Linked DNA regions of Saccharomyces cerevisiae S288C. The gene in region 3 interacts genetically with the main gene of each other region. Each region holds a gene or a part of one and is shown on either strand. Other genes may lie near its edges.

What was found.
Region 1: mutations in ROG3 (region 3) and BIT61 together harm fitness more than expected from each alone (negative genetic interaction), as found in Saccharomyces cerevisiae (2 studies listed by BioGRID).
Region 2: of ROG3 (region 3) and STE2, changing one enhances a phenotype caused by changing the other (phenotypic enhancement), as found in Saccharomyces cerevisiae (one study listed by BioGRID).

The regions. Positions count from the first base shown.
Region 1 is NC_001142.9:325,968-329,725, forward strand, and holds BIT61 (Bit61p), read right to left. Parts: upstream 1,907-3,758; coding exon 275-1,906; downstream 1-274. Other genes in the region: amino acid transporter YHC3, read left to right, coding at 1-223; protein kinase IKS1, read right to left, coding at 2,151-3,758. UniProt on the Saccharomyces cerevisiae protein: Component of TORC2, which regulates cell cycle-dependent polarization of the actin-cytoskeleton and cell wall integrity.
Region 2 is NC_001138.5:80,568-84,325, reverse strand, and holds STE2 (alpha-factor pheromone receptor STE2), read right to left. Parts: upstream 1,747-3,758; coding exon 451-1,746; downstream 1-450. Other genes in the region: BST1 (Bst1p), read left to right, coding at 1-181; GTPase-activating protein GYP8, read left to right, coding at 2,414-3,758. UniProt on the Saccharomyces cerevisiae protein: Fungal class D1 G-protein-coupled receptor that acts as an alpha-factor pheromone receptor performing pheromone-dependent signal transduction involved in cellular conjugation, mating projection assembly, and in cell fusion.
Region 3 is NC_001138.5:194,955-198,712, reverse strand, and holds the start of ROG3 (Rog3p), read right to left. Parts: upstream 1,881-3,758; coding exon 1-1,880. Other genes in the region: phosphoinositide binding protein ATG18, read right to left, coding at 2,399-3,758. UniProt on the Saccharomyces cerevisiae protein: Involved in resistance to GST substrate o-dinitrobenzene (o-DNB).

The DNA.
Region 1 (3,758 bases), on a different chromosome or scaffold from region 3:
ATTAATATTCTATGAGGGTTTTCTTGGTGGTGCGTCATATGTTAACACATTCTTAAATATTCTCGAACAAGAGGATCCTGATGAAACAGAGTTCGCCATGGGTGCTGTGTCCATCGCTGATTCCTTTGGCGTTTTTTTGGCTGCGTTACTTGGTTTGGGGCTAGAACCCAAACTTTGTAGGCATCAAATTGCCGATGACAGACCTTGGTGTAGGATGGAATAAAGTTTTGTTGTGATATTAAATAGGAGATTGAAATAAAGTGTTAGATGCTTTCTATATACTCATTCTAATGCCTGCTAATAACTCTTCGATAATTCGTTGATTTCTATCATTACTTTGAATGGTACTCAATATGCCAAAACACTGCAGTAATGTCAATTTATCTGTTTCTGTGACATTACTTTCTTCTTCTTGATTGAAAATGTAAAGTTGAAAACTTTTGCTGATACCATCGTTACTATTTACGAAGTTTTCATAACAAGGTAAGACTATTGAATCTCTAAAGCACATAAGCAAAAGAAACCCAATAGAATAATTACCATTAATGTGAGTCCGACTTTCATTGCCTGACTTTAAAACCGTAGAATTACCATCTTCTCTGATACTCTGATCCAACGGTAATAACACAGCGGCTAAATCATAATATACCTCTTGATAAAATATCCGCCATATAACGCCTAATCTTTTCAATGCGTTATTTATTGTGTCTTCATTAGAATAGTTAAAAACAATTTGGTTTTCTAAATTGTATAGGGAACTAACCAAAAATTCTTTCAAATCGCTGATAATTCTATTCATGCCGCTATGTGTGACTCTTGGATCTGTTTTTAAAATGCAATAGAATTCTAAAACTTCGTTAAAATTTTCTATTTTGGCCCTGAGTTTCCATATTCTTTGAGTTCTGAATAATTCTGCTACGTTACTACAAAATATATTCCAAATATTATTTGTTAGGGTTGTCAGTTCTTGGGAGTTGAAGTGTTTATAGTTAGCTTCCAGAGATGGTAAATTTCTTAAAAGGTCGTGTAACATTGAGACCGGATTCGGTGAGGCAGGATCAGTTCCAGAAAGCGGATCCTCAACGATTGTGTTGGGATTGACACCAGATGGATTAACATTCAATGAGTACACAGAAGTTCCTGAGTCCACAAGTTGCCCCGCATTAGTATGAATAAATTGTGACGGAGATTTATGTCTTCCGTAAGAGGAATGCAGAAATTTACTCAAGGAATTTGGAATTGCAGGCTCGATAGCATCTTGACCAATGTGCCTGTGGCTTTTATTTTGGAAAAAGTTCTTAATCACGTTTCGAAATGAATGTGAACTATTATGTAAGGTGCTTGAATCTGTCAAAAAGGAGGCAGGATCCGATGAAATGGTCGTATGTGCTCTGTTTCTCCTATTAAAAAAGCCAGAAGCCTTTCCTTTCATATACCTGCCGGAGGGCGTGGAGTGTAAACTTTTCTGAGTAATGGATATTGCATCAGAAGATAACTTTTTAGATAGATTGTTCGAGCACTCCACCGTGTCAACGCTATGAGATTCCCCTATCTGAGAAGAACCAGATTTAGATGTTGCAGCTGAGGCATTGTCATTGCTCCTCAAGGAATGATTTGAGGCCACACTGACCTTCGATCGAGGATGATCTACTGTATGGAATATGGATTGGAAGCCAACGTTAGAAACACTAGGGCTAATGGGGTTCCTCGAGCCCTTCAAATTCTTGATGGAATAAACGTCATCATTTGATGTGTCTACAAGAGTTTGCCGGCTAATCTCGCTTGTAGTCTGAAAATTTTTTACTGGGGCTGTGGCTAATTGCACATTAAGGTATTGTTCGCTATTGACAGGGCGTTGTGTCGTAGTAGATGTTCTTTCTCGAAGGAGTATATCTTCTGCTGTCATAATGAAAGAACTTTATTTCTACAGAGGTCAATTGGCGTTTCTGTCACCTAGATCTTTTCATTTGGTTATTCCCTCTATAAATTTACTCATCGGTCAATTTTTCTAACATTATGCACCTTTGTCACCGGCCCTTAGAAGAGGTGAAGATGATTCGTGAACATTGGTGATAAGCGAGAATATTTTCTATAAATTTGTAAAGTAAAAATAAATTACGTGCTATTTAGTTTGCAATGTGTACTTATTGTTAGTATATGTATTTTTTGCATGCGGCGATGAAGGCCAGTAAAACCAACGCTCTTGCATGCTTACCTCTTTCATCAGCTGGTGATTTAAAAACCATTCCCAACAATATCAGTGACATATAAGAGAGCCACGACCCCGTTTTGGTACACTTAAATATGATTATCGTTAATATCATAGAAACTAGTTTGTAACAAACCTGGATTGTTCTATTTAAAGCAGAATACTTTTGGAGGTTTTGGGTTGATACGGTGCTCAAATTTTCCTCTGGTGCTGGTAATGATAAAGTAACGTTGTCTCCGTCAATATAATCATCAGTAAAACTGTTGGTATTCTCATTCACTTCCGAGATTGTACTGAAGTTCAAAGTGCTATCCACATTTTCTTTCCAGAATTTTTTGCCGGGTTTGGAATTTATTAGCATTTCATCTAACGTCTCCTCCACTGTCTTCGCTGTGGGTCTAGCATCATTATTTGGTTGTAAAAGAGCGTCCATTAGGTGAAATATTCTACGGTCTATTGGTTTCAATTTCATCGCTTGATGCTTTTCAATCATACCTTCAGTGTCGAACCTAAAATTTTTGATGCGTACCTTCAAATCAACTATATCCAACTGTGGTTCAAAGGGCAATTCACCGAAGACAATAAAATAGCAAATCATTCCTAGAGAATACATATCGGAAGCAAAGGTGTATTCATTGTATGTGTGACTCGATCTTGAAGGCAACGTAGAAGAAGAAACTGGTCTCCCCTGGATAATAAGGTCTGGTGCTGTAAACTCTAATGTTCCTGTGCAACCAGTACCCAATCTGGACTCTCCTTCCAACTGACTTTCCCCCAAATCGCCAATAACAATTGATGGGAAAAACTCATCTGAATTGTGTTCCCTGTCGTATACGTTGTCATTCTCATTGTCACTTTTAAATGGAGTCAATAATAAACAGTTGGATGGTTTCAAGTCCCTATGTATTAGGCCAATACTGTGCAGTTCGTGTAAACCTCTTGCAATATCCCTTATAATGGATACGAGCTGTTCCGTAGATAGGCCAACTTCTCCTGATTTACCGTGATTTTTCTTGCGAGTTCTAAATTTTTTTTTCCTCTCTTCAGGTGATTCGGTATCTGAGAACCTATTGAACACTTTTCTTAGAATACAGTCTTCTAAATTGCCGCCACTGCAATACTGTTGTAAAATGAAAATACAAGGAACTTCTTCTTGTGAATCCGATTGGCTCCCATCAATGGATCTGACAAATCCAACCGAAGAATCCATTTCGAGCCACACATGATTATACGTAATCAAATTGGCACTTTTGTGAGTTAGCGAACTCAACGCTTTCACTTCCCGTATGCACTTATTAAACCATTCCATATCATTTCCAATAGGTATTTTTTTTAGTGCAAAAACACCTAATTCAGTATTACCAATTGTGTGTACAACTTTGTAAACAGAACCTCTTGCACCATTTCCCAGCAAAGACAATATTTTGAAAAATTTACGAAAGTATCCGGGGATAAACAAATCATCTGGAATAAAGTATTTGTTTTTGCTGAACTGTCCCTGCTTATTGTTACTATCGTTTTGTAGGGCGTAGTGCCGATGATTTCTTTC
Region 2 (3,758 bases), 110 kb from region 3:
TTCTATTTTCAAAATGCCAAACAGCGTACCTTTAGACACGTGGGATGGTAAAGTTACCATCATTTTATTTGTGTACTTAACCGTTTTCAGTTTCATTTATGGAATAAGAAATCTGTACTGGATACACCACTTGGTGAACATAATATGTGCCTGGTTGCTATTTTTCGAAACAATACATTAGAACTACAACCCAGTAAAAAAAGATTAACTGTATATATTGCCTGAGAGTTCTAGATCATGGCAAGAAAAAAGCTTGAACTCGTAAAAGCAAAGGTGGTTTCTACCACTACTTACGAGATGTTTATTATGTAAAGGAGTTTAAATATTATCAAATAAGAAAGATACCATTTTTTTTTATAGAGAATGTGGTGCATCTGATGAGCACCTGAATCTAGTAGTAACCTTATACCGAAGGTCACGAAATTACTTTTTCAAAGCCGTAAATTTTGATCATAAATTATTATTATCTTCAGTCCAGAACTTTCTGGCTTCCTCATCAGCTGCCGTATCGGGAGTGTACATGTCGACGGGTTCAACTTCTCCCTCTTTGTAACTTGCATCAGCAAACGGTCCTATCCTAGTATTTTTTGAACTCGTAGGTGTGGGCAACTGATAAAACTGATTTTTCTCTATATCATCTGCAGTCTCAGAAACAAAAGTTCTTTCCGAATGTTTATCCGATGTTGTTTCCTTCCTTCTAGGATATAGGTCATATAATCTACTTCTGAGACTGCTTTTAGCATCGTTGTTGATACTATCAGTTTGAAAGCTAGACAGCGTGCCTGGATAAAACCTATCTGTGGATGTTGTAAAGTCTGAAGTAATTGTGTTTGTTTTGGATGCATTATTAGCAGCCGTGGCCCACATTGATGATAATGGTAAAGACAATACAGCAAGTAATGTTGCAACAGTAGTCAAGACATCTGTTCCCTGGTTTGGTTTCAAACTGTATGCGAGGATGAATATTATCGATGGAACCAACAAAGATTGACATGACATTATGAGTAAAATATGGAAACTATCGAACTGCTTGAGACCAAGGAATCTTCTTGATCTAATAGCTAAAATCAATTTAACTACCAGGACAAATGACATAAAGTTTATTGAGGATGCAAGTAAAATTGTGGATGCATTGAAGTATTTATCTTGGGTGGCACTAACATCATTATAAGTCACAATCATACCTTTAACAGCGCTTACAAAATACATGGTAACTGTAGCAATCCCTAAAGTGAAAGATATCGACGTCAGCATCAAACCTATCCTTTTGAAGTTGTCGCCTGTGAAAATAACTTTTATCTGAAACACCAGTGAAGTCTCAATAGAAGCCACAAGAAGGACTTGAATTATATTTGTAGCACCATAAACATGAACGTCACCTCTACTGATGAACTGAGGAAATCCGGTGAGAGCGTAAGTCACTGAAGAGTAATTAGACAGTAAATATTTAAAATAGAGTGCAGAATGCAAAATGATTAAAAACAATGAAACTTGGTTGATAATGAAAATCGGCGTTTTTCTGCTTCTCGATGTCATCCACATGACAATCAAAGTCAAAGCAGCTGCACCACATCTGACACCAAACATAATGGCCTGAGTAACAGTACTGTTAACTAAACCTTGCAACTCATCGAAAGTGATGGTAGATCCATTCCCATATATGGAAGTGTAGTTAATGGTGCTTTGACCAGGATTATACGTTGGATCATAAAATAGATTGCTCAATGAAGGAGCCGCATCAGACATTTTTGATTCTTGGATATGGTTCTTAACGGTGCATTTTTAAGTAACCAATTATAATTATAGCCAGAGCAGGTGAAAAGAAAAGGTATCGTATTGCTTTGAAGTCAAATAAGATACTAATAGCACTCCTTAAATAGTATTCCACCCACAGAAAAAAATCTTGAATATGTAGGAAAGCTTTTTTCTTCATATGTGTTTCATCATGTACTTACCCAATTAGGAAATTTACATGGTTGAAAAAACTTCAATCTGCGACTTGCCAGGCACAGGTCCTAAGCAGTATGGACGTTGGCCTGCTTAAATTCTTAGCGGATACTATTGTTTCATTGCAAAGCAGGATACTTCTTCTCGTTTATACTAGCCTGTCTTAATGCACGAGACATTTACCCACAGAGCAAGACGTATATTGACGGATTGCAACACCTATTCGAGCACTACAGCGTGTGACAATGCATTTTGGCAGGCATTGGATAACATATCCGGACTATTCTACAGTTCGTTCTATGCTCTTATCTTGAATCTTTGGTGTATTAAAAAGCTTATTGAGGTTTCATAGCTAAATTTTTCCTTTTTTCTCTCTGGGAAGGGAAGATTATCTTGAATTGGCAAAGTAAAGAAATAAAGAGAAAATTTAGCAAATGACATAGAACAAGCCAATTAACAAAATACGATGCCATTAAGGTCATTATTTCATACTAATCAGAGTAGCCACGACAAAGACGCGTTGACAAGGGGAGGTTATAACGCATATCTGGAATCACTTTCTCGTTGTGACAGTGGAAAGGCAGAAGAACAAAAAGGAAAAGTTATATCAAAGTTATTAGAGAAAAAAGATGTCCGAGCTTTGAGGTACATAGGTTTAGGGCCTCTGGGGTTTGTAAACAACTCATTAAGAAAAGATTGTTGGTATGAATTATTGGCGTCCCAGTTGCTTATTGATGATGCAACAGAGTACATTACACCAGTGGAAAAACATAAAGATGAAGGTCAGGTGATATTGGATGCAGAAAGGTCTTTTGGTGGAATTGTCGACAAAAACTTGAAACTGCAATTGAGAAAACTACTGGTGGAGTTAATTACTCGGGTATTGAGAAAGTACCCAACGTTGAACTATTACCAAGGTTATCATGATATTGTGTCTGTTTTCATCATGTGTTTTAGTTGGAATGTCACAAAAGAGAACGGACTGGAACTAGAAAATCTCTCATTGCAAGAAGAAATTGATATGGAAAGGCTGTTTTATTGCATCGAAGCATTTACCCTATTATATCTGAGGGATTTCATGATGAACTCACTAGATTTTTCATTTGAGCAATTGAGAGTAATCTCTTCATTGATAAAGGAATCAAACATGAAATTCTATAATCTATTCAAATTTGACGAAAATGAGCCCCTTTTCGCTATTGGGTCAATATTGACAATCTTTGCACATAATTTGAAACCTATAGATAGCGGTGACAACAATCTTCATAAAATTCTTTTCCAGATATTTGACATGACAATATCGATGCAATCTATGCGTTTACCTTTGATCATATACAAGAACCTGCTATTGCAAAATGCGTCTGAAATTTCGAAGCAAATAGAAGCTAATTCTGATTTCTTCGAGAACGATTTTGACCTGCGCCATGGTGCTATACAAACAGTTTTACAGAAAAAACTGTATGATGAGGCGCTTTGGGAAGAAGTCTTGCAAATAACTAGAAAAGATGCGACTACTGCCAGCAAGAAGGCTTTGAAACGGGTGAGTCTTAATAAATATAGTGCATTACTCAATACAGCATGTGGAAAGCCAGGATGCTTCGATATGAGCACCATTATCTTCTATTTGAGCGAACAAACAAAGATGAACGAGCATTACAAGGAAGAAAAGTATCATGGTGTCGCCGCCAGATCCAAGACAAGGGCGTTGGTCCAAAGACTTGGCCATTTTTTACCCTCCAAATATAACAGGTGGAGCAAAATTTCTTTACTTATCGGGATTGTAGCTATCCTGTACCAATTACGGACTACAA
Region 3 (3,758 bases):
GAAGGAGGAAGGTCCTCACCAATGATATCATATTTCATTGCCTTGCCATACGATGGAACCTTGTTCAGGTTTTGAGTCTCTGGATAATTTAAGCCCGAGGGCACTGGTAACACTTCATGGGCTGACACGCTTGGGGCTGGGGATCTTGAAAGTAAAACAGGTGATACGTTACTATGTACTCCTGGCACAGAGCCACTATTGGGACCAAGAGCACTCTGAGGTAAGATTCTCTCCGTGCCATCCTCTGGTGCTGGAACGTTTAGTAATGGAGATAGCGATCTGGAAGCGGCAGCAGACGAGGCAGACGGTGGTAGCCCTAGATTGTCACGTTGATTTCTAATTTTTGTCAACCGTATACGTAAATCTTCTAAATCCTGTTGCTGATCCTCGACAGTCGAACATTCGCTTCCCAAAGGAGTACATGTTCCAGACGTTTCCACAGCCGTGCGAGTGAAAGAACCGCTATAAAGACGATCATATACGTGCATTTCATAATTTGGGGGCGTCATCAAGTCTGAAATGGTAGGAACAGAGCCACCGCTACGCATATCCGCTAATAATTCCAACCCTGTGACTGATGCTGATCTAGAAAACAGATATTCCTCTTCCTCTTCTTGTGATGAGTTTTCGTCTTTCTGGTTAGTGGTGCTAAAAAGCGAATACAAATTCGAGGATGACAATGGTTTTATTGAAAGTGCCACAAATGGTGAAATAAAAAGTTGAATCGGTAAGGACGCTCTTAACTCAGATTTATGACCATCTGGGTTAATTAGGATGATGAAAAATTTGAGCTTATGGCGAACCTTAATGTTAGAGCGGACATCACAATCTTGCACACAGTTTGATAAGCTGTTCGGGATTTGCAGGATGGTATCAATCTCCCACTTGTCTTGGAATGAATGATCAGGCTGAAAAAAGGGGTTATTTACAAAGCAACCATTACCATTAAATTCTCCAGATGACTCGTTCAAGGGATCTTCAAGATTTAGTTCTGTCACTTGCCTATTTTCAGAAATTACTGGAGGGAAGGGGTCACAATATTGATAATTCTCAAATAATACGACTTTGATTGAGCCCAATTTCAAACCTTTCGAAAGAGGTACAATGGAAATATTTATAGGGGTGGCTGAACCAATAGCTACGGCTTTGTTGGGTACTGAAATAGAATAATCCACTTTGTCGGGCCATGAGTTATCTACACAAACAGTTTCTGATAACTCCACTGCTGCGGGTGAAATGGTTCTCAGAACTCTAATATTTTTCCTACAGATCAAATCACTATAATTTTTGCTGCGTTCAATAACGGATTCCATGCTATATGTCACGAAGCAATTTGGCAAAGATTCTACGCTCTCTGGTAACGAACCAGGCAAAATAGCACTAAAGGGAAAATCGTAGTTGCCCTTATCTAAAGTACATGAAGAGGGTGAGGAGGACCCCTTTAAAGACTTCAAGGAACTTGTGGACTGAGCTCTTTGGCGAGTGCCCAAGATATTACTTGATGAGCTACTGCCCGCAAGGCCAGATTGCCCTCTTAAACCACTCAGATACTCCTTGAGGTTAACATTATCCCATGCGTAATTATAAAAAACTTTGTTGTACTTTCTGATCTTTGGCGGCGATGAAGACAACGACGAAGAACTAGCGTCCTGGGGCCTCTCTAATGGTACGTCTATTTGTATCTTCCCATAAAGTCTCAATGATATGCTTTTGATCTGCATGGGTTCGTTAATCGATAAAACGATGCAACCAGATAAAAGCACCGAGGGGGCCTCGTTTGGAGGACCTTTGAGGAGTATTACATCGTTGTCAACATTTTTAAGTCTGATATCGAAAAGCAGAGGCTTTTTCTTAGTTGATTTACCGCTACTGAAGCCCATGTCGAACTTTTTGTATTTTTATTTTGCTAAGAGAGCTGCCTCTATGTAGCAACAATAGATATTGGCTCTTTATCAACGCCAATTATATAAACGAAAATAGCAAAAGGGTTTATACGCACTTTAAAACACCCTGATTCATCTATTAGCCGTATAGAGAATATACCGCATCACAAGTGATTTACCCGCGTGAAGTTAACTCTTCCGAGGAATCAAATACCAACTGATCCAAATTCGTAATCAACAGGGCTAAGCCGGAAGGAGGCTTCGTAGCGTAGTAACGTCACTCCAGTGATCCTTTTTCGACAAACAAATACTCGATCCATGAAAGCCATTTTTTTGAATTTTTATATCGAAAATTTCCCCTTTAGGCGAGTTCTATTGTTTTAAATAAAAACACCGCAACAAGATAATGGTGACGAAAATATTATGCAAAAGGATAGATTATACGCAGGAGTTTATATAAACTATATTGTGTATGCGTTGTGACGTACGGAAGGCAGCGCGAGACACTTCCGTGATCAATCCATCAAGATGGAATACTGTGACAATATTAAGCAATCGCCGCCTCTCTCCGGGTCCATAACAAAGTTGTATAGGTATCCATCCGAGGAAACGACCCTGATGGGGACCATCTTCATAACAGGCTCATGGTAGGACTCTGTACTTGCGGAATTGCCAGTTTCGAAGAGTTCCGGATACTCGGATGTGTCTATATCTATTGGAGAGCCTATACTTGATATGGTCATTACATGGGAATTGGTTTCAACGGGAAGTTTCAAAGACGCAAAATGGCGCGAGGATTCCAACAACGATGTAACTTTGATGGGGAAAATCTGACCCAATGTTCTGGCAGCTCTTCGGGATAGCTTTTGAGAAGAGTAACGTATCATCCTACCCATTGTCTTTCTTGATGCATCCACATATGGTTCTCTTGCGAGTCTTGTCGGGTTTTCCTCGTCACTCAGCGCATCGATACTGGTGGTATCGAGCGATGAATCATCGGCTGCAGCTTCTTCCATGTTGCTATCATCGCTGTCTAGTTTATTGTTGCTCATTGAATGCCCCAATTTGAAGATATGCACGGTTTTGGAAGAGCCGGTAACCGCCAAGTACTGGCTATCTTCACTGAATGATATGGAGTAAATTCTTGTCGCGTACGTCCCTCTCCTGAATTGGTAGATCTTATCACCCGTTTCAATGTCAAAGACCCTGATGATAGTACCTTTATCAGAGGCGGTAGCCATTAGTGTCCCATCAAAACTAATTGCCATTGCAGCAATCTCGCCCTTATGAGCTTCGATGACCATGGTTGGCTGTAATGTTTCCAAGTTGAATACGATCACATCACCATTCTTTATTATACTGCTGTTACCGCCGTTACTGCTTGTTGGATCCGCATCATCCCTCTTAGTAAAGCTCGAATACTGATCCAAGTCGCTAATGTCACTATGGCCAGCATCTTGCTGATCTCTCTTGAAACTGGTCTCTGTGTTGCCACCAACTGACAATGTGATATTGTTTGTGGTGGCATGAGCTTTAATTTCGGAGTTAATAACTTTTGGTGGTGATGGATACACTAAATAGCTGTTGGCTACCGAAGGAGACATAGCCATAAGGCCACGTGGGTTAGGGTTTGTTTCTATAGTATGCAATAGTCTCATGGTGTTGATATCATAAATATAAATCTGCTCTTGTAAAAGTACCACCAATCGAGACTTATTCATTTTCACACTCAGAATAGAAGTAGGGAAAGTCACCTCACAGATAATAGAATGTTTTTTTGTGTTGATTATACGCAATCTCCTTGGTGAAAGCGCAGGTTGATCGCCTATCCCAACGAGGGCTAGTAACGAGGTGGAGAACAACATCTCGACGATA